Linked DNA regions of Drosophila melanogaster. The protein of the gene in region 2 purifies or fractionates together with the protein of the main gene of each other region. This does not show direct contact. Each region holds a gene or a part of one and is shown on either strand. Other genes may lie near its edges. The genes, in order: Brr2, fand and CG31368.

The links.
Region 1: the proteins of fand (region 2) and Brr2 purify together in Drosophila melanogaster (affinity purification with mass spectrometry, with the first as the bait; one large-scale study listed by BioGRID). This does not show direct contact.
Region 3: the proteins of fand (region 2) and CG31368 purify together in Drosophila melanogaster (affinity purification with mass spectrometry, with the first as the bait; one large-scale study listed by BioGRID). This does not show direct contact.

The regions. Positions count from the first base shown.
Region 1 is NT_037436.4:15,960,223-15,972,330, forward strand, and holds Brr2 (Brr2 U5 snRNP complex subunit), read right to left. Parts: upstream 7,651-12,108; 5' UTR 7,531-7,650; coding exon 7,486-7,530; intron 7,390-7,485; coding exon 6,694-7,389; intron 6,637-6,693; coding exon 1,893-6,636; intron 1,829-1,892; coding exon 1,654-1,828; intron 1,599-1,653; coding exon 1,316-1,598; intron 1,258-1,315; coding exon 772-1,257; 3' UTR 614-771; downstream 1-613. Other genes in the region: CG17032 (uncharacterized protein), read left to right, coding at 1-286; CG10516 (uncharacterized protein), read left to right, coding at 8,148-8,471, 8,777-9,338, 9,404-9,546; brm (brahma), read right to left, coding at 10,155-11,011, 11,072-11,863, 11,937-12,108. UniProt on the Drosophila melanogaster protein: Catalyzes the ATP-dependent unwinding of U4/U6 RNA duplices, an essential step in the assembly of a catalytically active spliceosome. Plays a role in pre-mRNA splicing.
Region 2 is NT_033778.4:13,589,861-13,599,497, forward strand, and holds fand (fandango), read left to right. Parts: upstream 1-3,783; 5' UTR 3,784-3,865; coding exon 3,866-3,910; intron 3,911-3,968; coding exon 3,969-5,999; intron 6,000-6,062; coding exon 6,063-6,638; 3' UTR 6,639-6,697; downstream 6,698-9,637. Other genes in the region: CG6191 (uncharacterized protein), read right to left, coding at 740-1,584; CG45088 (uncharacterized protein), read right to left, coding at 1,847-1,912; S-Lap5 (Sperm-Leucylaminopeptidase 5), read left to right, coding at 6,962-8,611. UniProt on the Drosophila melanogaster protein: Subunit of the NTC(Nineteen)/Prp19 complex, which is part of the spliceosome. The complex participates in spliceosome assembly, its remodeling and is required for efficient spliceosome activation. Essential for efficient pre-mRNA splicing.
Region 3 is NT_033777.3:11,879,119-11,888,677, forward strand, and holds the start of CG31368 (uncharacterized protein), read left to right. Parts: upstream 1-3,671; 5' UTR 3,672-3,755; coding exon 3,756-3,869; intron 3,870-3,930; coding exon 3,931-4,411; intron 4,412-4,473; coding exon 4,474-4,817; intron 4,818-4,819; exon of another isoform or gene 4,820-4,944; coding exon of another isoform or gene 4,945-5,203; intron 5,204-5,264; coding exon of another isoform or gene 5,265-5,768; intron 5,769-5,823; coding exon of another isoform or gene 5,824-6,005; intron 6,006-6,062; coding exon of another isoform or gene 6,063-6,233; intron 6,234-6,296; coding exon of another isoform or gene 6,297-6,421; intron 6,422-7,464; coding exon of another isoform or gene 7,465-7,717; exon of another isoform or gene 7,718-8,050; intron 8,051-9,375; coding exon 9,376-9,559. Other genes in the region: sad (shadow), read left to right, coding at 1-156, 212-532; CG6962 (uncharacterized protein), read right to left, coding at 662-964, 1,020-1,277, 1,337-1,649, 1,710-1,979, 2,037-2,863, 2,918-3,217, 3,274-3,306; mthl5 (methuselah-like 5), read right to left, coding at 4,945-5,203, 5,265-5,768, 5,824-6,005, 6,063-6,233, 6,297-6,421, 7,465-7,717.

The DNA.
Region 1 (12,108 bases), on a different chromosome or scaffold from region 2:
CTACAACAATGGACTCAACTCAGGATCCTCGGCCGCCAGTGGGCAGGCTCAGGGCTTCCAGTCGCAGAGTGCCAATGGATCATTCGGTGCCTCCTCCGCAAGCACGGCCACTCAGTCCCAGAACACCAGCCCCTTTGGATCCAATAATGCGGCAGGTGCTTCGCTGAGTCAGGTTTACCATCTTCCCAATGGACAGACAATAAACTTTAGCTCCACGAACAGCTTCGCTAATGGAGGAGCCAATCGTGGCAGTAGCCATGGATCGGCAGTTTCTGTCAGCCGCTAAAAGCCAAGTTCACCATACAGGGAAAATACCTCCAAGTTAATCTATTTGTCAGCAATCCTATGTGCAAATATCTAAAAAATCCAAATAAATATTTATGATTGAATTGAATTTGAATGAATAATTTGAATGATTTTTTTAAAATCTAAACGGTTGCATTTTGATGATCCAGATTACAAATTACAACAAACTTGAATTGTTCCATACGAAATTTAAAAGCTTAAGACAATATAAGAATTGGCACTGTTGACTACAAAATATTTAGATTCTTGGTATCAACCAGCGAAAGAAAGTTGAAAGGTTTTTTTTATTTTGTTTTTTTTTTTTTTTGTACTACTTTATATAATTATCCTCAGTGTATCCTTGTACAATTTGGTTTCTACTAAAGTAGTACACGAATTTATTATTGCTACAATTAATGCGCGTAAATTGTAAAATGATTGATTTTCATTTGTGCAAACATGCCCAACTGATGATCCTAAAGAAAACTAATCTGACTCGCTTTCGCTTTCCGACTGGAAGTCACCCACTTCGATGGAAAACTTGTACTCCTGATCACAACCCAAATAGGAATCGCTCATGTAGTACAGAGTGTAGTCGTGTTTGCCCGGACTAGGTGCCACAAAGTCCAGCTTGACCTTTGCCTTTTGCTGCAGCGTGAGCCGTTTGATGGAGAGCAGGGAGTTGGTCTTGGGATCACCTATGACGACCCACCATCCTTCTTCGCGCTTCTGCGGGAAGAATGGAGCAATGACTGGGCCAGTGACCTCATCCTCACGTTCCAGTTGAACCACTACATTAACGGTTGATCCTGAGTTGATGCGATCCTTGTCCACCACCTCATAGTTCAGCTCAATGTTGGGGTAACGGTTGCAGAATCGAGCAACATCGGCCATTTGTAAATCGGAGAGCTGCAGCAGGCGAGTGCGATCCTCGTCCTCCAATTCCATGATATCGAAAACGGTTTCGATTTTCTGAAATATACGACGAAACATGAGATAATCCTAGAGATTCACTTGTTGTTACTCTCACCTTCTCTGTGCACCGCTTGACAATCTCGGGACTAAAGTGCGGCAACTGTTTCAAGTACGAGTCCTTGCTCCACATGGCCTGCGTGACCATCTGAGCCAGCTCCATGGCAGCCACAGCCGGCGACAGCCAGCCATTTGAACTCAGCACATCTACGCAGGCCTGAATGAGGCGGATGGCCTTGCTCAGTATCTGCTCCGTATCGCCTTGCAGTTCAGGTCCCAGTTGCAATCGCGAAAGATGAGCCTGAAGCAGCAAATTGGTCTTGATGTGCGGATCATTGAATCTAAAAATAACATTGGTAAAATTCTTTTTAAGATCTAAATGTATGGGTTGCTTACTTTGGAGCCGTTTCATTGGGTCCTGTGAGTTTGTTGGGCAGTCGCTGAGACAGCGTGCGCAGAACCTGCTCCTCATGATGCCTGACCACAACATCCTCGTACTCAGCTGCCGATGAAATAATTTCCAGCAGGCCCCGCACTTTTGTTTTGCTGTTGAGGGACAAACTGAAGAGCTCTGGGAAAAAATGATAGGAAAATGAAGATGACAATTGCCTAAACTTAAATCTAATGCTTCATACCGATAGTTGTGTAGTTGATGTAATAGTAGGCAGCAATCATGCCCAGATTGAGTGGCAGCGTGTCCATATCATCCTCCACGCTAATACACTTGGACTGTTCTAGATCGCTCAGCGTATTCTCCACCAACTCCGAAAGATGGTCGGAGAGATGGCGATGCGTGACACCCTGCAGATTGTAGTAGTTGGGATTTTGGGTCAATCGTCTGTAGAGGAACGTCCAGGTGAGATAATCAACGGCATCCTGTTTGTTCTCAATTGTCTTGGTGACCACCTCGGCGTTAAAGTGATCATGCATTCTATGATCCAAATGACTTTCGATGGGCAGCGGCTCGTTGATGAATTTCTTAAAGAAGTCCTTCTTGCTGCTCTGGCACATCAGCACGCATTTGGCATCCGCATCCTCGTTCGGCCGATTGGCTCGACCAATCATTTGCAGCACGTCTGTAATGGGATAGTCCTCATACGAATGATTCTTGCCATTGTAAAATTGTGTGTCCATGATGATCACCAAGTGAGCGGAGATGCTCATGCCCCAGCAAAGGTCTCTGGAGATAACAGCTACTTGCACGGCGCCAGAGTCAAACAGCTGCTCCACCAGGCGATGATCTGAGGCGGATAGGCCCTCATGGAGATAGGCCACTCCTTGCGCTAGGGTCTCCTTCAAAGTTTTATCCGTCATTCGTTCGAGGAACGGCTTGATGTCCTCCTCCTCAGCATGGAAAAAACGGTTGGGTTGCAAATCCGATGCTGCGTAGGTCAAAACATCAATTGCAGTGAGCCTGGCCTGCTTTCTGGACGAGACAAACACAATCACCGGCTTGTGGGCGCTGTACTTGAGGATGGCATTGTAAACAGGCTTGGACATCGTAGCAATTCTGGTGGCGTTGTGAGTGACATTATAGCCCTGGATGTGCAGCTCCAACGGAATGGGACGCACGCTGGGGTGGAAATTGAAAGTGGCATTGGGATTACAGCCCAGCCACTGGGCGACATCCCTGGCATCCGTTAGCGATGCAGACAACGCCACTATTCTGATCTGTTTCTCAATCTGCGAGCTAATGTATCGCATCCTGGAGCATACAATTTCCAAAACGGGACCTTCTTCGCCACCAACCAACTGCAGTTCGTCCACAATGAACAGGTTCACCAATTGTACGTTCTTCCTCTGTTTCCATCTGCGAGACAACACATCCCACTTATCCGCAGTAGTGATCACCAGCTGTCCCTTGGCTATGAGCTTAAGATCGGTTCCAGTTTCGCCGGTCAATTTAACCACTTTTATGTCCAGGGATCCAAATTTGCTATGCCAATCCGCAAAAACTAAGTCCGCCAATGCCTCCTCCGAGACCAAATATACACATCGGGCATCGGATTGGGTAGTGAACAAGCGCATGATGGCAAACTCTGCAATAGTCATCTTTCCGGATCCGGTTGGTGCTCCAACAAAGACATTCTCATCACTATTGTAGACTGCGTTGAAGACCTGTGTCTGAATGGGATTGAATTGCGGGAAGCGTTGCGAATAAAAGGATTCAAACTTCGGCTGCCGGAGTGCACTAATAGGAAGCGGTTGGAGATCCAAAAGCTCCGTAGGTGGCATATTCTTCTCGGGCAGAATCAAGTGTCGGAAAGAAACTGGTAATTGGGTCTCTGCACCTATCCAACGATCTGAGACAATGCGAAGGAAGTACTGCGGTGGCAGAGGTTCAAAGACAGGCACAAAGAACTTAAGCTGGTGCTCATCTTGGGAATACTTCTGCTTCAGCAGGAAAAACTCATGATGGAGAATGAGTTCCGAGTCGACATCTTCAATTAAAACCCAGAAACCTTCCGACTGGCCATGCACCTTTTCATCCCATTGGAAATCCGGTGTAATTGTTAGTTCCACTCTCAGAGTTCCCCTTGTTATGGGTTGAATGTGCGTGGAGAGCTCCAATTTGGGGAACTGGTGCACAAACTTGTGGATGGTCTTTCCTAGCTTGGGCACTCTAATCAGCTCACCAAGTTCATGTGGCTCTAGATCGTAAAGCCTGCCCCAGGGGAAGTGTTTTTTCTCCAGCTTCTTGGCAATCTCATCGGGCATCTTCTTGAACTGCCTAAGTGGTGTCATCGATTGCCACATTCTTCTGTCGATCATCTTGCAGAGCGTCAACGTTTTGTCCGCCAATTGAGCCCATCCGCGGGTCAATACAATCTCAAAAATGGCTCTCATTAAACGGGCAGCGGATTGGGTAATAAACACCATGTCCGACATCAATGCAAAGCCCTCCAGTTTCAACTGGGAGATATAGGCTTGCAGCAAAACATTCACCTTGGCACTGTGCTCTTCAATGGACTCCTTAATGGGAATGGGCACTCGTTCCATGAGCTTCTGCAGCTCCAACTTTTCCTCTTCTCGGACGGAAATATGCCGGAATTCCGAGGATAGGGAGAATACGCGGAACAACTCAATCTCACTAAGAGTTTGCTTAAGGAGCTGGTTGTAAGTCAGCATGGTTTCATGGGTTAGGTAATAGTGAGAGGCAATGCGTCCCAGATCAGTAACCTGAAAGTGTCCCGTCTTCCGATCGTATTTAATAAGGCCACTTCTCTCCAGACAGCAAGCTGCGGTATGCAGGAGATCAGCACGATGCTGTTCCAACAGAGGATCAGCCTTGATGGCATCATGGGAAACTCCGTACAACGTGGGATTCCTCAGCATTCTAATGTACAGATAAGTGTAGCCCAACCAGTTAACTGCATCCTGGAGATGTTGGACCGTTCCTAGCACAATCTCCGCATTGAGCATGTCAGGAAGCTTGGAGATGAATTGGGACTCAATCGGCAACTGCTGGTTGAGCAAGGAGAGATAGAACTGCAACTCACTGTGATTGGTTATAAGAATACCCTCACCCTTGGTATCATACTGCGGTCGTCCAGCACGACCCAACATCTGCAGTACATCCAAAGCACTCAGCTCCACCCAACGTCCTTTTTCCGGATTGTATACCTGCGTGCCCTTGATGATTACAGTATGGGCAGGGAGATTGACACCCCAAGCTAGCGTGGCGGTGGAAACCAAAACTTGAATGTGCCGATCAGCAAATAGATCTTCCACCAAAGTACGATCGACGCGGGTCATTCCAGCATGATGAATGGCGAAGCCGTAGGGCAATAACTCCTTAAGCTCTGTGTTCTTTACTTGTTCGGCTTCAGTCCGCAGCACTTCCATGCTTGCTGATCCTTCCTTAAGAAAGCTACCAAGGGTATCCTGCTCCAGGCACATGTCCCTCACAGCCCTGGCCGTTTTTCCAGTCTCCTTGCGCGAGTGTACGAAGACCAGGACCTGATTACGCCCAGCATGCTCCATGGTCTTCTCATAAACGATCTCGTTCATCACCTGGAATCGCTTTAGGGCCTTCTTCTCCGTCACACCGATATACTGCTGCTCCAGGGACACAGGCCGATAGCTGTTATCAAAGTAGAAGAGGCCTTTATCGGGCTTTACGCGTAGGAAGGTGGCCACGTCCTGATAGTTGGGCAGTGTGGCAGATAAGCCCACCAATCGCACCTCCTCCTGGGTAGTTTCAATATTCCTTATCGTACGCGCCACCAGGGCCTCAAGCACCGGACCACGCTCGTCGTGGAGCAAGTGAATCTCATCGATGATAACCAACCGGACTAAGCTCACAAAGGTACGCTCGCCTCCCTTTCGAGTGATGATATCCCACTTCTCTGGTGTGCACACAATCACCTGCGTGGCGGCGATCTGTTCCCTGGTCAGCTGGTGATCTCCAGTCAACTCAGAGACCGTCAGATTATAGCAAGCAAGACGTCGTCCAAAATTGCCAACCATTTCCTGCACCAGCGATTTCATGGGAGCCACGTAAATGATTTTGAAATCCTGCGCATTGATGGTGCCATCCTCGTTGATGTGCTTTCCAATCTCCCGCATCATGGTTAGCAGTGCCACATTAGTTTTACCAGCTCCAGTAGGGGCGCACAGCAGCATATTCTCATCACTGTCCAGTGCGGCCTTGTACAAACGACTTTGGATACGATTAAGGGTCTTGAAACCCTCGAACACAGGCTGCACATATTTCGGAAGCTTGTCCACAGGCTGAAGTTCCTCATTGGCATCAAATGGCACGGGTTTCAGTGCAGGCACGTGCACCTCCTCGTAGCCCTTTCGTTGTTTCCTGTAGGAGCCGTCGGGAAGCTGACAGCGCTTGTTGGCCATAAAGTGAGATCCTTGAGTGAATGCCATCTCTTCCAACTCGAGTAGCTGTCGCACACCGGCCACCTGCCCGGCAGCCGCCGCTCCACCATCCTCTGCATCGCCTTTGCCACGCTTGCTTCCCCGTGCTTCGCCCTCCTCCTGATCCTCTGACTTTCCCGTATCCAATTGCCGAAGGATTTTGGCCAACGCAGAATTTCCGCGCATCTTCTCGCGAATCCTTTGCCGCTCGCTGTCCGTTTGGGCCGAGGCGAGCATGGTGCAGTACAGGACCATCTGCCGGTTAAGCTTCAATTGCTTAATGAAGTCAAAGCAATCGTAGCCCAGCAGAAGCACCAATTGATTTTCGCAATCGCGATCGTCGGCGGCATCTTTGAGGATCTTCAACACATCGGCGGCTTTGCTTTGCGACACCATGGCGTCCTTGTAGAACTTGCTCAGACAACGCTGCAACCAATACGCATCTATGTCCAGAGGATGCAAGGAGCGCTCTTTCTTTACATTATTTGCGGCTTCCTCGTTGGCTAGCTGGGAAGGGATACACGAATAAGAAATGGGATTCGCAATTTTAACTACATTACTCACATTCTCTGCATGCAGTGTGTGATCAATGCGGGCCTCCTCTCCTTCATCCTGGGCATCATCGTCGCGAATCTCGCCATACATGTCGTTGTCGCTCTCCTCTTCGGATTCCTCAAACTGAACATTGATGCCGTAGGTTTCATCGATCTGCTCCTCGTTGTTGGGAGCAGCAGTCAAAGCATTCACGGCATCGCTGCCAAAGTCTGTGATTTTTTTGCCCAGGTTAACCAGCAGAGCGAATCGCTCATCTGTAACTGCGCCCAGCAAGCTGTCTATATCCTTCTTTCGCTCCCGATCCTTTAAACGATCGTTCTTGAGGACAGCCAGAATCTCATCAGCGGCACCGCACAGGATATCCCTGGGCTGATCCCCCAGAGCCTCCTGGATGAAACTGAGCAGGACCTCGTAGGTCTGACGAGTTTCCTGGGTCTTGGGTCGATACACAATGCCCACCATCTCGTCAATGCCCTCGGAGAGCAGAGTGGCTCCCTTCATCCGCTCGAAATCGTACTGGGCCTCGTCGCGCTTCTGACGTTTCACCTTGCGCTCCTCCGTTTTCTCCGGCTTCGTTCGCTGGTACCGATCTCCCATCCTTGTTCCGTCCAGCTTTCCCACCAGGGAACACACCTCGCCAGTGGCCTCATCGCGGCGCGGACGTTCGATGAGTCGGACATCGGCTTGCAGCACAAGATTGGAGTTCTGAAAAATGGAAAATACATTTAACGTGTTTGTGAAATTCTGGTGAGACGCCGCATGGAGTGGGAGAAGTTTTCCCGGGCGGGATTTGACACTTACCGCCTTGTACTCGTATTGCAGCTGACGTGCTGCGGCATCCGCCATGTCTGTTTAGTTGTTTTTATAAGTATTAAGCACTTTTATTAACCTATTTTACAACTTTTTGCGGAAATATCGTAGTGAAAAGCCGCTGTTTGTGGCTACGCGTGCTGCCAGATTGTCAAAAGGCTAAAGAGATGCCATATGTGCGAAGCCAACTGAAAATCGATATCAGGGCTGCCATTTGTAGGAAACCTATCGTTAGCGCGCGCATCTAAGTTTTTAAAAATGTAGCCCATCAACATTCTATTTAAAATTTGAATACTGGTTTTTTAGCTTTTGTAAACACCAAAATTTCCTACGCACTAGCAATCCACAAAAGAAATTGCTATAAATTTGACCATAATTCTCATAATTGAGATATATCTAGTATATTTTAAGTTCCGAACTGCGGCTTCGGTCACACTGGCGGCGACGTCGGCAGCGATGCCGACGTCTATTTACAACGCATCGTTTTGTTTATTGTTCAGTCAGATCAGAGTAATGTGCTTATATATGAGGCTGCAGCTGGTTTAACTGGAAACATTTGTGGTCCGTCGACTGCTCGAGATCATTGTACACGGCTGACACAATTCATTACAAAGCAATCGAAGGTAAACCAGTGAAGAGGAACAAGTGCCAGCATGCTGCTGCCCCCGTACCAAGAAGCCTGCAATCCCGGCTTCTGTGATTGCCCGTTTCCCAACTCCATTGAGGTTACCAACCACAAGGGCCATATACCCGACCTGGTCAGGTGCCAATGCGGCGAGGATGAGTCCGGAAACGTGAATGCCTGGCGGTGGCACGCCACTGATGAATCGGATGCCGTGGTCACCGACCGGGACATCATCTTCCATCCCACCTACAGTCAGGGCACGGCGATTGTGAGAGGGGAACAGGCCCTAAAAACAAACATGGTGCACTTTTGGGAGATGCGCGTCATCACGACTCTGGCCGGCACGGATGTGGTTAGTTATCAGGCCGGCTTGGCAACTAGTTGGGATGCTCAGCATGATGAATGTCACTCAAAGTCGCCGCCTTAAAATAGAACACAACTAACCAGGCATCTGGTGTGCTCGTTTCCATTGGAGACGACTTGATTGTTCGCTTCGTTGTATTATGGATTACAGATTACAACGCGGCGATAAGATAACAGACGCAGCGGGAGGAGGAAATCTCAGCAGACACCCCAACTAGATGATAAGCCAGCTAAAGTTCAATGTAAATAATGTTCTCTTTATAATTGCCTTTCTTTTCTTATAACTTTTCCTAGATGTTCGGCATCGGCACGGAAAGCGTTAATCTAGGGCAGTTCAAGTTTCACTTTGTCTCGGCCCTGGGCACCAATGCCCAGTCCTGGGGCTTTTCGTATTCCGGAAGGATTCAGCACTGTGGCGAGTTACTGCCCTACGGCCAGAAGTTCTCGCAGGGCTGCTTGATTGGTGTCTGTTTGGATCGAACGCGTGGGCACTTGGAGTTCTATTTGAACCGCAGATCGCTGGGAGTGGCCTACACCAATGTCCCGACGGATCCGGATGTCAAAATATATCCCATGGTCTGCTCCACAGCCGCGAAGTCCGTAATTAGGCTGATCAACTGCACTTCGCAACCAGTCACACTGCAGCTGCGATCTTTCCAAGCATTGTCCAGGCAGCCGCTCAAATTGGCCGAACTGCGTCAAATGCCGGGTCTCAAAGGCATCATGCAATCCTACTGGTTCCTGGCACCGCCAATTCGTTACTCCCGGAACTCCCGCGAAAACGAATTGGATCTGGGCGACGAAGCAGTGCTCTCAAGCTCCAAGCAACGGTTGAGGCGCAAACAAAAGTACCGAGGTGAGGTCACGAAGTTACGTCCACTATCATTTCTGCCACATCACTTTTGCAATTTCAATTAATAGAAACCGACGATGCGGCTGTTGATGAGGACGACTTGTACGCCAATGCACACAAAATCACGTTGCGAAGCAGTGATAGCGGCGACGAGGAGCACACCGCTAGTGTCCACGAGATGTGCGACGAGTACTTCCACTACCTGCTTTAGTCTTACCAAGCATATCAATATGTTTAAGTATGCATTTATTTGAAGGAGCTTAGTTATAAATGTAATAAGTAGAAATGCTGAAGCTAATTTTAATTACTGTAAGACTTCCTAAAATACAACTTATTAATTAAACGAAACATCATAATTTTCCCATTTTGATATATTTAAAACCATTTCCTTTATACGCTAGCAGCGATGTATTCATTTAGGTACCGATTTAAATAAGATCTTTGTTACTAATTCCAGCCTGGTCTAGGTTGAACAATCTCTCAAGGAGCAATCCGCCGTCCATTAATGACAAGTTTTTCGATTTACTTTATGTTAGGTATGCATTTATTTTAAAGCACATAATTATACAATCAATAGAATTGGGAGAAATAAATGGTGTGTGCGAAAATAATTGAATAGGAAACTTAATCGAGAACCTACAACTAGAAAATTAGTATAGATAAAAGTGATAGCATGATAGGTTAGATGGTTAAAAAAACCCGTAGGCTAGGGTTTTGGTAAGCATCGTCCTTGAAAGTAAAACTTAAACTAATTAATAATCAATTGCCCATGCCTTCGACATCCGACGATCCGCGCTTGAAGATCACTCCCAACGGTAGCTAGTCCATGTCATCGTCGTCATCGTCTGAAATAGTGTACTTCTTTTGGGAGCGCTTGCGACGCGTCTGCTTCTTGGATGTGGTAGCCGCTCCGCTGCTCACATTCGACGATGATTGCGTGGGCGTAGCGGGCGCACTAGCCAGAGATTTGTTCAGTTTCAGCTTCATTTTGACAGCCGCCGCTGAAGTGGTTGCAATCTCCTCGTCGTCGGAGCCGTCATCGCCACCATCGTCGTCGTCGTTGTCCGAATTATCCGAACCTCCATTGCCGTGCGCTTCACCCGTGTTATCTCCGGCTGCCACTGCGGCTGCATCCGCTGCAGCTGTTATCCTCTGCCTGGCCCCAACGAATACCTTTTGCAGGGCAATCGAGTCCAGGTAAATCAGAGACGCCTCTTCGTTGTAGATCTGTGCATTCTGGCATAGCTGCATAAAGTCCTTCTCCAGCTCGTTGAGATCGGCATACTTGCAGTCCTCAATGCGCTGCAGGATTTTCTTAATATCAACTGGCCGCTTAATGATCTCGTAGTAGTCGGGCAACCTCTGCCGCGAAGGCAACTTCATGAACGGTTCGGACAGGGTTCGTCCATCTTGGTTGTGCTTGATAACCGCACTCATAATCTTGTGCATCTGCTTCTTGGACCGCTTGTCCAGATTTTGGCGTCGTCGCCGTTTTAGGATCAACGAATCATCGTCGGACTCTTCCTTCCGATTCTTACGCTTTCGTCGCTTGCGCTTCGAATCGTCTTCCTCCTCTTCCTCGTCGAACTCAGCGCCATCGTCGATGGCTTTCAGCCACTCCTTTTCAGTCAAACTATCGGTGTAGTCTACTTCCTTTCGCTGCCGGGAGCCTCGACCTAAGGCGGAATAGTTATCGTAAGAAAAATGTTTAAATAACAGCGAGCAGTGTAACTCACCTAGAATGGTATCCTCGTCGTACTGATAGTGGAAACGCTCTACTTCGTCATCATCCTTTGTCAACCAGTCGGGTAGCTCGGACTCATCGATCAGACGTTCCCTACCCGGATGGATCTCCTCATCCTCCTTCTTGCGCTCAGCATCCATGCGCTTAAATATTTCAATCTCCTCCTCGCTGCGGGCGATCATCATGTTGATCATTTCGTCATCGGGCACCTCATTTTCCTCCTCCTCTTCGTTGTCATCCTGGTGCAGAATCGTTTGTAGGAACTGCTGTCGCTCGCTACCCGTTGACTTCTGATCGAACATACCAGCCTGGATGACCTTCTCGTCCATGTTCAGCTTGTACCTGGCTGCTGCCAAGATGCGCTCTTCCACCGAGTTGACTGTCATTAGTCGCAGGACGCGCACCTCGTTACGTTGACCAATACGATGGGCACGATCCTGGGCTTGCAGATCCTGATGGGGATTCCAATCGGAGTCGAAGATTACTACAGTATCGGCGGTCTGCAGATTAAGACCCAAACCACCAGCTCGGGTAGATAGCAAAAAGACAAATACATCCGAGCCTTTGGCGTTGAATTTTCGCAGTAGTTCGCCACGATCCTCGGCCTTCGTGGTACCGTCGAGTCGAAGGTAGCCGAATTGGCGCCATCCCAGGTAGTCTTCGATGATGGTCATGCATTGGGTCATCTGACAGAAGAGCAGCACGCGATGATTGGTCGCCTTCAGCTTGGGCAGGATGCGATCAAGCAGCTCGAATTTGCCAGAGACACGATACAGATCCGGTCCTTTAATTTGAAAAAGATTAGATTATACCAATGTAAATATAAATATACCAAAAAATTAACAAGATAAACTTACCGGATACAACTCCGTGGCCGCCAGTGTGATCGCAGTACTTCTCTTCTATGTGCTGGAACATAAACGGATGGTTGCACAGCTTGCGCAGCTGTACGATCGTGTTCATCAGCGCCTTAGCGCCTCCCTTGCCGTGCTTGCCCTTCTCGGAACCATCGGTGAGCAGGACACCCTT
Region 2 (9,637 bases):
AATAGTCCCTCGCCATCTGCGAAAATACGTCACAATCGGAAAAGCGCTCTCTCAATTTTCACAAGCTTATGTTTATAAATAATTTTCGATTTCAGAACGCCCAGCGAAGTGTTTTGCTTTCGCGGTACTTTCGATCAAGCTGAGCCTTTTTCGTAAGCAAATTAGAGAACCAGTGTCAATTGGCTAACGTAAACTTAGCGGAAATTTCAATTAACAAATTTGGGGAGGGGAAAAATCGATGCCAATTATGACGACAGCTTAATTGAACTCAACAAAAGTTCAGTGATCAAGCGGAATGATTCATTCATTCTCGTAGCGTAGAAATTATTTATAAATCAACAAAGAGCAAAGGAATATTAAGCGAATTTCATTCGTACGTGTATGGTTGGAAAATATTGCGATTGGACTAAGGAAAACTGTCCACTTGACGTCACGTGTCAATCTATTTCTGAGTGTCTACAAGATAGAAGATCGTTTAATTGGAAAAACATAAATTTGAAGCTGCAATAACTTAACACATTTCCTGTTTGAATATTTTGGTAGGTTCCCTTATAGTCGATCTAATATAACATTTATAATATTATATAAACTTATGGTAAGAATCTTTACAGTTGCCTCTTCATACAGCTAATTTGATTACAACTTCTAGCAACTGCTTAACAAAATGCTGATTAGAAACCATAATAAGCTAAGATAGTTCACTGATATGACAAACATGAATTGTGCATTGATTACTCACCGTTCCCTCAGCGGCAATAGCTTGCTGCCCGCTCCGCCGGCCACGCCACCGCCGCTGCCCAGATTGGACACCTTGAGCGGTATCTTGACGCTGTCCGAATCGCTGCCACTCTCGGCACCCGATCCTCCGCTGCCGGCGGCGCAACTTCGTGCCTGCCGCTGTTGCTGCTGCAACTTGTGCTGCTGCTGCTGCTGCTGTTGGAGCTTATTGCCCATATTGCCATTGCCCGGTGCCTGGTGGTTATGACGACCCGACGAGGTCGGGCGCTTTATGTTGCGTCTCTCGGCCGGCACAATGCTGCTGCGATTGTGATCGGCGGCCGGCAGGACGTTCATCAGGTATTGACCCATATTTTCAGTTTCACTAAAATGCCCGTCCCCATCGCTGGCACCGGTGGTGCAGTCCTCCAGTCCCAATCCCAGCCCGATGCCGCCATCGATGCCCATGTGGACATCGGCGCTGCAGAGGAGCGGCGAACAGAGGGCGCCATTCTGGTGTTGCTGCTGCTGCTGATGCTGCTGCTGATGTTGCTGCTGCTGCTGCTGCTGTTGGGTGTGTTGCTGTTGTTGCTGTTGCTGCTGCTGCTGCGTGTGATGCCGCTTCTGGTGGTTGTGGTGCGTCGCCGAGTGGCTGCGCTGATGGTGGTGCTGCTGATAGTGCGGATGAAAGCCCCCCGAGCCGAGTCCCAGCGAGGATGGGTTCTTATTCTGGTTGCAGAGCAGGCTGCTGCCGAATGTTGCGCCGAATTTGGTGTCCCGATGGGTGCCATCTAACGAGATATTCGATAGGAACGAGATCGCAGCCAGTCTGCGCCTGTGTCTCGTCTTGTTGAGCGAACTTGCCATTAGGCGATGAACCCTTAATTACCAAGCGAGATTAACCGAAGTGGGTGCTGTGGGTCGTTTCCCTGGATGCTCCGATGTTGCTATATATGTACCTATATGTATATATAGTGTGTTTGTGTGTGTGTGCATATACTGTGTGGGAATGTGATGTTGCACTTTTCTGGAACACTCTTCGCGATTCTTTACGAAAAAACTGGTTTCGAAAGTGATTATGCTGCTGTTGTGTATTTTCACTGCTGGTTGCTCACTTTTCTTGATCGAATCAATTAAGTTTTTTAGTCTCTAACTTGGCAGCCGAATTAAAAAACAAACTACTTGAACGCGACATGGTGACGAATTTTTAGCACTTTAGATGACGGAAGATGGTTGGAATACGAATAATTTTATGCACTTTTATTATTAACTAGCGTTTATGCGTCGATGCGTTGCTTTGGCTGCAAGTAGAAATAAGAACAGAAGAGAGGAATGGAATCAATAAATGAGACTATAAAAAGCGGCAGGAAAGCTGCTTTTGGCCAAGAGAAGCTTTCTCCGAGCGTTTCTGGAATATTCGTTGAAGTGCAGTGGGTGGCTTAGGGGAAATTGTGGTCAGCACATTCTCATTCTCAGTGGGCAAAATATTGAATATGATATAATATTGTTAGCAGAAGTCATCTCAATATGATATTTTATAATTAGCAATGTTTTTAAGCTATTTTTAAGTGAATATGCTATGGTTTTTTCAACTCTTTTAGATTATTTACAATTTTTAGACATAATAATCATTTTAAAAAATCTCATTTGAAAACAACGGGCATTTTTAATTTTAAGAATTAAAAGTTTTCCTTGAAATAAACCCGAATCTTTGCTGGGATTTTAGCCAACTGAATTGATAAAGCTTTTCCGCTGGCAGTTAAAAAAGCTGCATGCGGCTCAAAGCTGCAGTGGTTTTAGCCGCCTTTGTTGTTGCTGTTGTTGCTGGCGGGCGGCTTAGTGTGTCAGTTTAGTGGGTGGCAACAGTGCGAAGAGAGGGGGTGGCAAAGAGAGAGATATTGGGCCACAGCCGGCAAGGAAAATCTAAGCGCTTTTCCGCACTTTCGTGTGTGTTTTCTGTTTACATTCAATACGGGAGGCCCTAAAATGCCCAAAATTTTCCCTCGGGCAACAAGAGCGAGTGGAAAATTTTTGAGAACCATCATAAACAGCTGTTCGGGAAGCGGGGAAATAGATTTTCCGGTGGTGGTTTTTTTTTACCTAGGATCCAGTCTAATTGGATTTACCTGGACCAATTGGAGTGCGGCGGCACACACAAGTTTGAGCCTGTGCGAAAAATATAAAATCAATGCAGGAACAAGTGTGTGCGAAAATATTTATGACACCCACCCACTCACACGCTCGCACACACACACTTGCAAGCACACGCACACGTGTGACGTGTTTTTTCGTGTTTTCCCCTCGTCTTTTACTTACCACTGTGCTTGGTTTTTCCACGGTCGTTGGGTATTACTTAAAACTTAATTCGATTGATAGTCGTTCTATGCTGAGAAATGTTTCAAGCGCGTCATTTTGATCTATTTTTATAGTGTTTTTTTCGATAGACTTTGATTTTTTGCCTTTGGCTGCCAACTCGCCTGCGCTCCTCACTCTCTTTGGCTCTCTTTTGCACGGCTGTGTGTGTGTGTGTGTGTGTTGGTGCACTCACGCAGTTGCCTTCGTTGCGTAAATTATGCAAAATGCAGGCCAATTGCAATGTGTTTACAAAAACAGAACAAACGATCGCGTTAAGTGTGTTTTTTGCGATTTTACGAGCGCGTTAACTGGTCTCTGCGAAATACGCAAACGGTATGAACGTCAAAATATTGGCAGCAGCGACGAAAACATCTGCAGATGGGCTTACGAAAAATTCACAAACTGAGGCCAGTGTTGGGCAGCGGACGAAGGGCGAAATACCAATTCAAAGGGAGGCAAAATATACCGCAATGGTACTCTAGAAAATTCACGATTGTTTTGGTTTGTCCATAACTTCAACGTTTAAATAAGGTGCACTTAGAAAATTCTAGATGTTCACAATTTGTAAAAAAAATGTACACAAGCCAAAGTTATCTTAGTTTTATGAACAATTTTTCTGTATTCTTAAAATATTGTTTACATGTTAATTAGGATTTAATTACTTTGGTATTAGCTGCGGTATCTTAATACCACTACTTTTCAAACCTTCTGGCAACGCCATTTCGATCAGCTGTTTTCGTGGGACGCGCATGAGAAAATTATTGTTTGCGGCATTTCATGAAAATCGCGAAAAATGGTGACAAAAACGATAAAATCTCTGAATTTAGAGATCAATTTCGTAAGTACCATGAAATATATGTAAATCACAACTAACCTATCAAGTTTTTCACACACAGGAAGTGGAGGATGTGCCGTATGAGGAGGAAATCCTTCGAAACGCCTACTCCGTAAAACATTGGCTGCGCTACATTGATCACAAAGCGAAGGCGCCGAATAATGGTGTTAACATGGTCTATGAGCGTGCTCTGAAAGAGCTTCCTGGCAGCTATAAGATCTGGCACAATTACCTGAGAACTCGCAGGAAGCAGGTGCGCGGCAAGATACCCACGGATCCCATGTACGAGGAGGTCAACAGTGCCTTCGAACGTGCACTGGTGTTTATGCACAAAATGCCACGTATCTGGATGGACTACGGTGCCTTCATGACCTCGCAATGCAAGATTACCCGCACCCGGCACGTTTTCGATCGGGCTCTAAGGGCTCTGCCCATCACGCAGCACGGCAGGATTTGGCCACTGTATTTGCAGTTTGTACGCCGCTTTGAAATGCCGGAAACAGCACTGCGAGTCTACCGTCGATATCTGAAACTCTTTCCCGAGGACACAGAGGAATATGTGGACTACCTACAGGAAGCAGATCGGCTGGACGAAGCTGCCCAGCAGCTGGCGCACATCGTCGACAACGAGCACTTCGTTTCCAAACACGGCAAGTCCAATCATCAGCTGTGGAACGAATTGTGCGACCTCATCTCGAAGAATCCACACAAGGTGCACTCCTTGAACGTGGACGCCATCATTCGCGGTGGGCTGCGTCGCTACACCGATCAGCTGGGCCACCTGTGGAACTCTCTGGCGGATTACTATGTGCGTTCCGGCTTATTTGATCGGGCAAGAGATATATACGAGGAAGCCATTCAAACTGTGACCACCGTAAGAGACTTCACCCAAGTCTTTGATGAATACGCACAGTTCGAGGAACTCTCGCTGAACAGACGTATGGAGCAGGTAGCTGCCAATGAGGCGGCCACCGAGGAGGACGACATTGACGTTGAACTGCGGCTCTCACGCTTCGAATACCTCATGGAGCGCCGTTTGCTGCTGTTGAATAGTGTGCTTCTGCGCCAGAATCCGCACAACGTGCACGAGTGGCACAAGCGGGTGACACTGTACGAGGACAAGCCCGCCGAGATCATCAGTACGTACACCGAGGCCGTGCAAACAGTGCAGCCGAAGCAGGCGGTCGGCAAACTACACACTCTCTGGGTGGAGTTCGCCAAGTTCTACGAGGCCAACGGACAGGTGGAGGATGCTCGTGTGGTCTTCGAACGCGGCACTGAGGTTGAGTATGTTAAAGTAGAGGATCTGGCGGCGGTGTGGTGCGAATGGGCAGAGATGGAGTTACGGCAACAGCAGTTCGAGGCGGCACTCAAGCTGATGCAAAGGGCGACGGCCATGCCAAAGCGAAAGATTGCCTATTATGATGATACGGAAACGGTGCAGGCGCGCCTTCATCGCTCGCTAAAAGTGTGGTCCATGTACGCGGATTTGGAGGAGTCATTCGGCACATTCAAGACGTGCAAAGCCGTCTACGAGCGGATTATTGATCTGAAAATCTGTACGCCACAGATCATTATCAATTACGGAATGTTCCTCGAGGAGCACAACTACTTTGAGGAAGCCTACCGAGCCTATGAGAAGGGCATCTCTCTGTTCAAGTGGCCCAATGTCTACGACATTTGGAACTCTTATCTAACCAAATTTTTGGAGCGCTATGGCGGCACAAAACTGGAGCGAGCCAGAGATCTCTTCGAACAGTGCCTGGATCAGTGTCCTCCCGAGCATGCTAAGTACTTTTATTTACTGTATGCTAAGTTGGAAGAGGAGCACGGTCTCGCCCGGCATGCCATGTCGGTCTATGATCGTGCCACGTCTGCTGTCAAAGAAGATGAGATGTTCGACATGTACAACATATTTATAAAGAAGGCAGCCGAGATCTATGGCCTGCCACGTACCCGCGAGATCTATGAGAAGGCCATCGAATCGCTGCCCGAGCAGAATATGCGCCACATGTGCGTTAAGTTTGCTGAGTTGGAAACGAAGTTGGGCGAAGTGGATCGAGCTAGAGCCATCTATGCTCATTGCTCACAGGTATGATAATATATATAGATTTCTAATGCATCACTTAATCTAATTATTGTTTGCATTCTTCAGGTTTGTGATCCCCGCATCACTGCAGACTTTTGGCAAACTTGGAAGGAGTTCGAAGTGCGTCACGGCAACGAAGACACAATGCGCGAAATGCTGCGCATCAAGCGCTCTGTGCAGGCCACTTACAATACGCAGGTGAACATGATGGCCGCCCAATTCCTGAGCACAAACAACGGAGCGGCTGCGGATGCTGGAGCAGGAGCTGGACCGGATGCCATGCGATTGCTGGAGGAGAAAGCTCGCCAGGCGGCAGCCGAGTCCAAACAGAAGCCCATCGAGAAGGCGGCCTCGAATATTATGTTTGTGCGCGGTGAGACTCAGGGTGGTGCTAAGGATAAAAAGGATACGGTCGTCAATCCTGATGAGATCGACATTGGAGACAGCGACGAGGACGATGAGGAGGAGGACGACGATGAGGAGAACGAGATGACGAACGAGAATCAGGCCAGTGCAGCGGTCACGAAAACCGACGAGGAAGGCCTGGTCATGAAGAAACTGCGCTTCGAACAAAAGGCCATTCCAGCCAAGGTCTTCGGCAGCCTCAAGCCCTCAAATCAAGGCGACTCTGATGGAGAGTAAATGTTTATACATATATATGACTTTTTTCGGGGTAAATACATGTATGTCGAAAGTTTTACAATTGTAATTGATCGGTTTTTATGTTCTGGCCTCAATTAGATTCTTAAATGGTACTTTGATATTAATTGTTGTCAAACGAAGGGGGCCTGTTAGATATTGTCTCCGTTTTGGATGATCTAGTTAGTATAGCCTTAGGCCAAACAGAGGAACACACTTTCAACTGTCATTCCAAAATTGTTAGGCACTTCGTGATCTAAAAAAGCTAACCAGACGTGCGCAAGGGCGGACTAACCAGGACTAACCACACACCGTGTATCTCGAAGATGGCATCCACACGCATGATCAGTGCTTTTACGCGCAATCCAAGATTATATCAACAGGTCACGGCACCCTGGAAATCGTACAATCTGTTTGGAACACCACTTTTTAACCACAGACTTCAGCCAGCGGATTCTCAAATCTGGAGGGGATTAGCAGACAAGTGTGACAACAAGACTGTTATCAAGGGCGTGGTGGTGGGCGTCTACTCCAAGGAGGGCGACGGTAAGGAGGTCAAGATGACGTCCAGCGGCGAGAAGTTCGACGACCGAACTCAGGGCAAGGTCTCGGAGCTGTTGCGCGAAACTGGAATCAAGGGGGAACTGGGCAAGGGTAAGGTCTTCATGAACGTGGATGCCGAATTCCGGGCAGTGGCTGTGGTGGGTTTGGGCCAAGAAGGTGCCGGCTTCAATGACCTGGAGAATATCGACGAGGGTATGGAGAATGCCCGCGTTGCCGCTGGCGTCGGAGCTCGGGCATTGCAACTGCAGGGTTGCACGGAAGTCTTTGTGGACTCCATGGAATATCCGGAGCAGGCGGCGGAGGGCAGTGCTCTGGCCATCTGGCGTTACAATAGCAACAAGCGCAAGCAGGATCGCACTCAGGTACCCAAACTGGATCTGTACGACTCACCGGATGTGGATGCCTGGACGAGGGGTCTCTTCAAGGCGGAATCTCAGAACTTGGCTCGAAGATTGAGCGATTCGCCGGCTAATCAGATGACCCCCACCATATTCGCCCAATCGGCGGTGGATGCCCTGTGTCCGTGCGGCGTTTCCGTGGAGGTGCGATCCATGGATTGGATAGAAATGAATCATCTCAATTCGTTTCTAATGATAGCCAAAGGCAGCTGCGAGCCACCGGTGGTCCTGGAGGTCAGCTACTGCGGCACAGCACCCGAGGATCGGCCCATTCTGCTGTTGGGCAAGGGTTTGACCTACAACAGTGGCGGATTGTGCCTGCGGCCAAAGGATTGCCTGCATATGTACCGCGGCTGCATGGCGGGAGCAGCCGTTTGTGTGGCCGCCGTTCGAGCTGCGGCAGCCCTTTCCCTGCCTGTAAACATCACGGCCGTACTGCCGCTCTGCGAGAATATGCCATCGGGAATGGCTGTAAAGCCGGGTGATGTGGTCACCCTGCTCAATGGCAAGACGATGGGTATTGTGGATGTGAGCAAAGCTGGAACGGTGGTATTGGCTGATCCCCTGCTCTTTGCCCAGACGACGTACAAGCCTCGTCTGGTGGTGGACTTGGCCACCGTTGGCTATGGCGTCTGTGCTGGCCTTGGAGAATCGGCTGCCGGATTGTTTACCAATTCCAATTTCATAGCCAAGCAGTTCGAGAAGGCTGGCGGCCTGACTGGAGATCGTTTATGGAGGCTGCCCTTGTGGCGCTACTTCAAGCAGCTGGTAACCCCGAATCTCACCTTCGACATCAGCAATAGGGGCATTGGTCCCGCCTCCAGTTGCATTGCTGCCGCCGTGCTGCACGAACTGGTTCCATGCGCGGATTGGGCCCACATTGATATCCGGAATGTGGGCATGCTGACACGCCACAATCCGCTGCCGTATCTGCTCAAGGATCGGATGACCGGCCGACCCACCCGCACCATCGTACAGTTCCTGTATCAGATGGCCTGTCCGGAAAGCAAGTAGTCTCCGGATCTGGATCGTCCGCACCTGTGGCGCTAGTTACCACCATTGCTCGTTCTATTTTACATTTGTTACGTGTCCCGTTTTTGGTGTTTGTTCTTTTCACAATATTGTCTCCATGTCCAAATTTTTGGTTTAGTGTTCCGTGAGCAGCTGGGTAACGACACATTGAAGACAGTTTTACGGACAAATGGACCAGCTCAGTTATTAATGGTGGAAGCAGTTCGACTGGCTTCTATGGATCGTCTCCCAGCTGCACAAAATTAAATGATTTTAAAGTGCAACATTTATGGTTACTTCTAATTTATTTAATAATCGTATAATCTCATTGCATAATCTCGTTATTCTAGTGGAGGGTATAGATCTGTCTGTCCGTATAAAAGGACAGTGATCACATTGTAGTAAATTATTTAAGTTTTTTTTAAGCATTATAATTATAAAAGCTTGACCCCTCCACACATCAAATGCTACTTACTTCAGTTAATTGAGCGAGAATGCGAAATGGGAGCGCAGGGAAAGTGTTTTATATAAACTTGACAGCCCACTCCACGCCAATCTTGCTTTTGGCCCTTTTTCTTGTTGTTGCAGCACTGTTACGAGGGCGGCTTATTAGCCTAATTGCGTGAAGTTGGCTTTAATGAGTCGCAAAAGGGGCCAAGCCTGGCCCACAAAAGGCCACAAAGCAAAAGGCGCCTTCTGTTTGTTGCTGCTGCTGTCCTGTTGTGGCTTTGAATTTATGACACGGCTTTAATGGGTTAACTGGGTTAATGCTCATGCCTCAGCTCATCAACTATCACCCCCCTCCCCCCTCACCAACGTTCCATGGCTCGAATTTTTGACAATTAAGCCGACATTTGCGTTCCCAGCTAGAATTCCTCGAGGATTCGGGAAAGATAAGGGAGGATGCTACTTGAAGGATCCCCTTGGCAGCTAAAAGTGCGAAGAGCGCGAAAATCTTAATACGGCGACATTTTGCACAAGTCATTAGGCCATGCAAAGTGATAATTTTTGAACCATTTTAGCACTTTT
Region 3 (9,559 bases), on a different chromosome or scaffold from region 2:
CTCCAGCAACGACTGGCCAAGGAGCGAGCTACCAATGATTCTCGCCTGATGCACGGCCTGATCAAGGAGTCCCTGCGTCTGTACCCCGTAGCTCCCTTCATTGGCCGATATCTGCCGCAGGACGCGCAACTTGGCGGTCACTTTATCGAAAAGGATGTGAGTGAAAGAAATTTCTTTGAGTGCCTCATCGCTCATGTTTGCCTTTTTTCAGACCATGGTGCTGCTCTCCTTGTACACGGCAGGTCGCGATCCATCACACTTTGAGCAGCCGGAACGTGTGCTCCCGGAGCGCTGGTGCATTGGAGAGACGGAGCAGGTGCATAAGTCACACGGCAGTCTGCCTTTTGCCATCGGCCAGCGGTCTTGCATTGGTCGCCGTGTGGCACTCAAGCAGCTCCACTCCCTGCTGGGCCGATGTGCTGCTCAGTTTGAGATGAGCTGCCTTAACGAGATGCCCGTTGACAGCGTACTCCGCATGGTCACCGTGCCCGATCGGACTTTGCGTTTAGCCCTTCGGCCGCGAACCGAGTGATACAGTCATACACGCATAAACATAATCATAGAACTAACACTAATCGTAATTGTAATCGTAGTCTCTTTAGTTTTATATAAATATATAAATGTCACATATTTAGTAATCTATCTAGTTAAAAATTTCAAACTAGGAAAACAATGCCTGCAGCATGATATAGACTAATAGCACAGTCGCCAGAATAAATATTCCCAGGAGTGGGGCACCCCACACCAGTTGTCCAAAGATCATCGAACAACCGATCGTTGTGAGAGCGGGTATAGAGCCCAATGGTCGTAGGCAAACTCGCGGAGGAACCAGATTTTCACATATTTCAACGTGGCCGGAGCTTTTGTCAAACCACTGTTCCGTCATCGGAGCGTACAACAGTTGCCGGGCCACTTTTCCGAAGTAATCGTCGCGGACGTAGAATCCTTGTAATTGACTACCATACTGGATAAAAAATGTTATCAGGGAAAAACAAAGAGGCCATTTTAAAGAAACTTACCTTATTGTTAATCTTTTCCGAAACGAAATGCAGCATTCTTACCAATGCTCTAACTTCATTGGTTTGGATGGGCAGCGTGGCGGGATCGACAGCGGCATGCAGGCTAGAAGCATTGAGCGACATTTGGTGCGGGTTCAGCTTTGAGGTGTCCAAAGTGTCGCTGGCGTCGAAAAAGCTGAAATTTTGCACAGCAGGCGCAGAAGGCACAGATGGTTCCTCTGGCAGAGTTTCATGCATAGATAGATTCGCTTGATCAACCTGTTTAGATATTCAAATATTTAAATTTTATGTTAACCAAAAACGAACAGTAAACTCACATTAAACGTTCGACAGAATGCGTCGATGCATTGACGCAAAACCTCCGGAATGCGACTGAACTCGCGCAGGGTCACTTCTTCCTGGGTGCACTCGCCAAAGATCTTCTTATAAAAGTTCTTAAGAAATCCTTCAGACCGCTGTCTCTCCGCAATTTCATTTCGTAGCTTGGCGATGTCTCTGAGCACCGAGTTGCGGGCCATACTGATTAGCAACAAGAAGGTTTCCATTTGCGTTTGCATAGTATAACTAAAAAGTTTGGCGGAGCTTATGTTAACAGCTTGATTCCACGGAGTGCCTGGAGAAACGGATTTGCTAAACGAAACAGGATTATTTTAAAATGAGAAGTTATTTAACTAAATAGTCTCAACCCACTTCATTATGTTGACTTGGCGCTGTGGCGAGTCAAAGCCAAAAGAATTGCCTGCATGTATAGCCTCAAAACGCTGAAGTTTATCTACTAAATCATGTTGAGAGAAGATTGTGGCCAGACGGTACAGCATAAATGCGTTCCTATACACAGTGTAGTCCAACCGCCCAAAGTGTGGCAGTAGCTGCATAAATATGTGAGTGTACATAATAAGGTTGTCGATAATAAAGCCATCGAAGCAGGACGAAATGGGCGGCCTGTAGGAAAGACTAGGTCTGAAAAGAAATGTATTAGTGGTCTTTAGTGTTTCAATTTATCAAGTTTAATCTTACGTTTTATTGTTCAGCGACGCTATGGTGTATCTCCATGGCTGAATGTAACTGAGCCAAAGCTCCAGCACCACCATCAACGAGCTGTCCAGAGGCCAACGATCGATCAAACCAACAATAAAGGCGTAGATTCTTGCCTTAACCATACTCAACGATACCTTACGCAGCGCGCACAGCGAACTGTGGTCGTGCTGAGCGCCATTTGCAAAAAAGTGCACCTGCTTGACCAAGGTGCGTACGCCGCGCACAAAATCGCTGCTGGGCAAATGATGCTCCGACTCGATGTCGTAACGCAGCCAGATGTCTACGAAAAAGTGGAGTACACTTTCAGATCGCCATGCGTAAGCCCGGTTGGAGCTGGCACTTGGGCTGTTGGACTGTGGTGATATGTTCCCGACGCCAACGCTTGCACTGGGAATGCCACCGCCGCCCGACACGTTTCCACCATTGCGATAGGAGCTGGGAATCTTAATGTAGCGCGGTTGTCTTTGGGGCTGTAATGCTTGGGCTGGCAATGGCTGTGGCGCCTTAACCCCGCTGCTAAAGTGCACCGGTTCTATGCGTGCATCGGGAAGCAGCGGCAGGAAGTTGTTAAGGTACTCGGCCACCAGTTTCAAGTAGACCGTTTTGCTGCGCACATTGTGGATTTGCATGGCTATGGGATTGATAGAGTGTAGTGGCTGCAGGGCATATAGCACAAAGTGAATCACATAGAAGTCGAAGGCGTTGAGCGAGAGCGTGGACACCTGGTGCATCATCGTCTCCACATTGATGAGTTCTGCATAGAAACTAGGATTCTGACCATTCTGCAGCAGGCTAACGAATTTCGCCTGAAACGAAGGGAATTAGAGTGAGCCATAAATACCCCTATTTAATCCACTTACCGGCAGCAGATTGATGTCTAGTTCGAATTTGTACTGGTCGACGAGCAGACGGTGGCAAACATGCATCAGGGGACCACAGACGCCGAAGAACTGGTGCAGCGTTTGGAATTGCACCGGATTGTTTTCAAGCGTCGTGGTCCGCAGGCCCCAGCCCAACGGATTGCCATCTATCCCGAAGATGGAGTGCACAACGTGGGGGAAGATCTCCTGCACTTGGCGCAAGGAGCACCGATCGAACAGGATGCTCAGCTCGTGCACGCGCTCGAATAGAGGCAAACTGAGCACCGTCAACAGGCGGCTCTGGAATGGAAAGATATTAGAGCGCAATTTGTATTACCTCGATGCTCGCAACTTACGCTTAGGTTTTCTGGCGGCATGGTCTGCGACATGGTGAGTTCGTGTGCGTCAAAATTGTCTTAAATTACAAATAAATATCACTTTAAATCATAAAAACTCTTGCCGGCGTGCTGTAAACAAAAACCTTTCGTCGTGTTGCCGGACCTGCGAAAAATGGTATCATTCCATAGGGCTGCGACATCGGCAAAGAATACGTGAAGTTTTTATAATAATTACATTAAAATTTTAGTGAAATTCGATAGCGGTAATTAATCAAATTCTGAATAATTAATAAAATATTATTTCTTGCATTTTAATTTAGAAACGGATTGGTTATTCGTTTTGCAGATGGTACGGGTTGAGGTGGGAACAGAGTATTTCGGAATAAAAAATTTGGTATATTTTGTCGGCCCTACAACGGTCACACTAGCAACCGGCAGCGTTTGTTTTGCTGCAGATTTTTGTGTTTATTTTCGTTTTTGTGCAATTTAACAAGATCAACATGAAGCGAAGAAGTCAAACTAGAGCCGAACAAGCCGTTCCACCAGCTAAAACTACAAAGGAGAATAGTGGATCGCTCACAGTGTCCCAGCTCAGCTCCGATGTTATTTGGCAGGTGGGTGCTCCGCTGGACAAAATCGAAGTGTAAATTATAGATCTGGATAACCTATTTACAGCTGGCATCGCAGTACTGGACGCCGGACACGAAAGCAGATCACCTGCCGTACAGTGCCAAGATCATCGAACGCATTTACAATGAGGAGATCGGTGATGGCGGTGGCCACAGTGCACGGAGGATAAACATGCTGGAGTTCAGTCAGTATCTGGAGCAGTACCTGTGGCCACACTACCAACGTGAAACCGCCACCCATGCCCACCTTATGTCCATCGTTATAATGGCCAACGAGAAGTTCCGGGAGCGCGTCGAAGTTTGGACCGTGTTTGAAAAGCTCCCGGATCAGTATCCAGCCTTCTTTCGCCACGTGCTAGAGAGCTGTTTGCCGAGCAAAAAGGCAAAGGAGGCTAGTAGCACGCTAAGGGAGCGGACAGCGCTGTTGATGTTCATTAACCACTGCTTTAACAGCATGGAGATAGAGCTGTGCAGAGAACAGGCCAAACGACTAGTCTCCTTGTCCATGTGGCATTGCCTGCAGCCTCGTAAGTTCTTCTTCGCAACTCTTCACATCTATCAAAGTGATCAAAAATGTATTTGCTTGCAGGCCGTCGCGAACAAGAGCTTCGAGAAGTTCCTGAGTGGCGAAAGTACTGGAAACGCTTGCTCAAGAAGGAGAAAGACAGCAAACCGGAGGTCCTCTGGGAGAGACACTTTATGCAGAACCTTATCATTGACTTCCTGCACATACTCGAAAGCATTCCCGCCGAAGGCGAGGTGCCGCGCAACGTGGTTCACTACTGTGAGCGCTTCCTAGAGTTTATTATCGACTTGGAGGCACTTTTGCCGACTCGACGCTTCTTCAACACGGTTTTAGACGACTGTCATCTGATTGTGCGGGCTCTTCTGTCACCCTTGGTTCGTCGCGAGGAGGGAAAACTGTTTGGTCAGGTAGGTGTCAGACTTCTCATTTAATAACTATCTCGTACAGCATAAATTAGTTAAAATTAAGTACAAATCTCAATGTTGGACATTGCTAAACTACGAAAACACTTATATTAGTGTGGACGGTGGCTCCTCAGTAATCGTTGCCGTTCATATAATGCAGCTCATCGCCCCAGTCGTTTGCCGACGGTGGCTCATTGTAGCAGCAGGTCTTTTTCAGCAGAAATGTCACATGTCGCTGGCGCAGCACGCATATGTATAGCAACAGCGGCGTCTGCAGGGCGTTAACTACGATGTGGGCGTAAAGCAGGCCTTCCATCTGCAACCAGGACATTATGAGGAATAGCCAGGCTATAGACATTACTAACAGCATCAGCGAGAACATGATAAAACTGCAAGGAAGATAATGTTTTCATATACTTATATGTAATGCCTAGATGCCGATCTACTTACTTGGCTTTCAATTTGTGCGCAATGCGGCCGTATACCGTCCTGCGGTTAATCAACTTCCTGGTGGTCACATAGAAGAATATGTTTACCAAAATGGTACAAGCAATTGGAGCAAAGAATATGCATATGCCTAGCCAGCCGATCGTCTCTTGCTCGCCCACCATGTGCTCCTGTTTGTAGGATTCGGCGTCGAGGAAGAAATGTGCGAAGACAGCCAGTGCAGCCATCGTTGCTGTGCATCCCCAAGCATACGCAGAATAATAGCAGTACTTCCTGCCGTCCGTGACTCGCAGGAAGACGTTCCTCGAACGAAAGGTCTTCCAAATGTAAAAACCGAAACTGTTCAGCCAGAAGAAAGCTGCCAAGAGGCTGAAGCACAGGATAATGTCCGCCACAATGAAGCTCACATGGCTGGTCAGCTCGGTGAAAATTCTGACAAGGTCTGCTGCCTGGCTTACCATAAGGCACATGGCTATCGTTGTCACAATGTTACCAACCAGATCTCTGCTGAATGGATTGAAAATTAACGCATGAAGCAAGTCAAATTCAAACTATTGCTCACCTGAGAGTAGGAAGTATAAAATAGATGATGGCGATGACCAGCAGGATAACAAGCGAGATGCCATGGAAAATTGGGTTTAAGATTTTGCGGAGCAGAAAGTTTGAGTCACTCCACTTGATCTCCTTGCGGGCCAAGCAAATGTTGGCGAATAGCACATTTTCCTCTCCAGTACTGGAAGTGGCCTGCGAATGGATTTTATGATCATCCATGCAATTTATGTGGACTTTAGCTACTCTTACCTTGTCAATGCAATACAATCCCTTATCGTAGTCATGGTATAGCGGTTCCAGACTGCCGGCAATATCCTCCTCATAATCCGATTGTATTCCATGACGCTCCTCTGCTTCGTTTTCGGCATTGGTGTAATGCCTTAGCCTCCCATCATCCAGTAACACTAGCTTATCAGAGCTCTAGAAAATATAAAAATATCTATAAGTATCTAAAAGTTTCTATGCAAAGAACTTCAAACTCACGCCAGCATAGTGGTATATTGGCCACATCTGCATGGATCCACAATTTGGAATCCCGATGACGAATTTGAACTTAACGGGCCTGTTTTGCTCTCCTCCATAGCTGGTGAACATCGGCTGGAAGTAGTCTGCAAATGGAAACGGACGATAAATAGAGAACACAGACCGTGGAAAATCATAAAGGCAGTTCAAGTTAACGCTGCTTTTGTTGCGGCTGGTGGATCAGAGGGGAGCCAGATTTTCTTTTCTCTCTGCGAATATAAATATTTACGCTTCTGGGCAAAGAACTTGAGCTGTTCCATGCGCCTTCATCAGCTGGTTTTGCAATTTGTGCAGATTGGTTCTTCTTCAATTATCGGAGTTCGGATACATTTTTTTCCACTCAGCCATTCATATGTTAATCATAGCTAAGCACACGGAAATTAGATTGCATGTTGCGATTATGTGCCCTGTTGTATTGTAGTATTGGGATTACTCAAATGACTACAATTAAAATCGGATGAGATCAGTACAATGCAATGATTCAACTATCAGTAATAGTTACATTTTTATGTGTCACCTATATGGCCGATCCATGGTCATAAATGTTTTATCCAGTTTTAGTTGTCCGAGCTAGAATATCGATATAGATGCTAGAGTACGCTTTTCTATTTCCCACAATTGTTGCGATTGTTTGTCAAACATTCACCCAAGGCAATATATCACTATATTCACCATTAGCTCCACAAACATTAATTACCAGGGCTCGCATTTATGGGGAACAGAAGCATCTTATATTACCTTACTAATGGATTTTTTGCCTCATTTTACTTCCAAGAGATAATATTCCCGATTTGGGAATCCCTCATCAAGTGGCTACTTTATAGTTTAAACAGAAACATGCCCCACAGCATAAATCATATTTCTCATCAGGATTGGGGCCACCCTCTGTTTGTTTTAAGAACTTTCTTGGGGGAGTGCGAACTGTGGAGTTGGGGATATTTAGCTGTTGGCTTCGTTCCACTGATCCACTGATAGCCAACAAATGGGCCATTTAATGTTGGGCATACATATGTTGCATGCCAGAAGGGAAAATCCATAAAGTTGAATGGCCAACCAACTTCGTTGTGGTTGTTATGGCAACTTTTTCGAGCGACTAGGAGTTTTCCGCCTGGCCAGCTGTTGAACTTACCCGTTTCATTGACCTGCTGACACTCATGGTCCACGTGTATCTCGAACTTCTCGCAACATTTGTTGACCAGCACTAGGTTGGGATCGGAAGATAGGGCTGTTGATGATCCGGCGCTAGTGACATGACTGGTTACTGGTAAAGGGTTTAGACTAAGAAGTAATACGCAGAGCAGGGAAATCAGCAGAGCGCAGCAGCTGCATTTTTTTGCATTTTGCCCGGCTGCAAAATGCGCGCCAAGCGTTTTTACGAGCATCTTTTGCTTAGTAACACAGACACAGATACAAATACAATACACAGGTAAAAGGCAGTTGTCGTTGGTGTTTATGTGGATCTGCGCTTGCTAAGAAATGCGTCATCAAGGTGCCGGCTGTGAGCCAAGATCATGACTTGCATGCCAGAACTCAAGTAAGGCGACACTTTTTTTTGTATCAACACACCCACAAAGGCACTTTCGTCTGGGTTTCAGACTCGTATTCGGTTAATAAACAATGCGCGCTTTACTTCCTCTTTAAACAGTATTCAAAACGAAATAAAAATTGAAGAAGCAACATCAACCGATTCGAAGCGACGACAAAAAGCGAATGACTCTCTGTCCCCGGCTCTTAATATCGAGTCACTAAGGCGGCGAGAGAGTGGAGAGTTGCGAGAGCAGCGCTCAACCCCCACCAAAGAGCTCCCTCTCTCGCATTGAAAACCAGACTGAGCGTTGTACCCGAGTGCACCGACTATTCACTGCCCTGCCTGAAGGAATTTAAACCCACATATAATACCGTTCTTATTTATTTTCCGATTTAATACTTTTTTAAGGCATGCTATCAAATGTAGAAGAAGACATAGTAGGGAATGTACTTAGACATTTATGTAGGCTTACTACGGTTTCTATATGACTAAATGCTATTTCAATTTCAAGTTACTCACTTATTGCATTTGAAACAGATTGCACGCAAACAGATCTATATACTCAAAAGTAGCGTTGTATAATACCCTTTGATCCATCGAGGGTATAAAATGTGGAAGCAAGGCTTTGAATTCGCGCCCTCTTTCCATCACCGTGCTCTCTTTTTTTAAATTGAGCGACGGAAATTATCAATTGGAGCAAGTAGTCCGTGCGAGTGAAGCAGGAACCGGCAATGTCTGCCCGTATGAGTGTGCGACGGCTTTGTTTGCTCCTCCAGCGCACTCTAGTGCTCCCCCTCCCCTCGCTTCCTGCACCAGGATGAGGCTTGATGATGCGGTGCGATAAGATGCAGCTGTGTGCAATGCCCTATTGACGCGTGGCCTGTCATCACACTTGTCCTCTCGCACCTCCACAAACTCTGAAATGGAAGGGAAGATAAGAAGTCTTCTTTAAAGACTTCCCTTAGTTAAATGTTAGTCCGCAACACCCTTCAGCTAACCTTCAACACAGATTTGTATTGAACACACACGCATGTATTGGGTTTTAGGGAAAGTCCCCCCATTCCAACGGCAAGGACTTCCGCTTTCCGCTCACCTGGCTGGTCTAATTAGCACTACCTCTCTCGCACACATAGCCAAACTTAAATGGTGCAACTGTGTGAGTGGTCTTGCCCAAAATGATGACGTATCAACCTTTTGGGGTACACCAACCGGCTTGGCTTACATAGTATGTCTGGCTTTGAATACCTGTAGTGCAGCTGAAATCAAGAAAGAGAGAGAGAGAGCTTGGCAAGGCAAGAGAAACGCTCAATGTTTGCGTGAGTTTGTAGAATTCACGATGGCAGGTAGTACAACAAACACGTTCCATTCAACACGCGCGTTTGGGAAACCGAACAGGAGCGGATCAGCCCAAATGGGGGTTGAGAATTCATTTATTTGTAATATCTCTTAATTAGATATAACGACTTCTTGACTGATTGCTATAACAATATGAAAAAACAAACATACCTACAGCTCCTGGACATGCTAAAGTTTTATACCCGCTTCGAGATCAACGACGTTACTGGAAGTTCGCTCACTGATCACGACATGACCCAGCTGCACTACAAGAAGATCACCTCGCTGCAGCGAGCGGTGTTCGCCAAGTTTCCCAGCCTGCGGGTCTTTGCCTTGTCCAACGTAGCCACGGTGGATAACA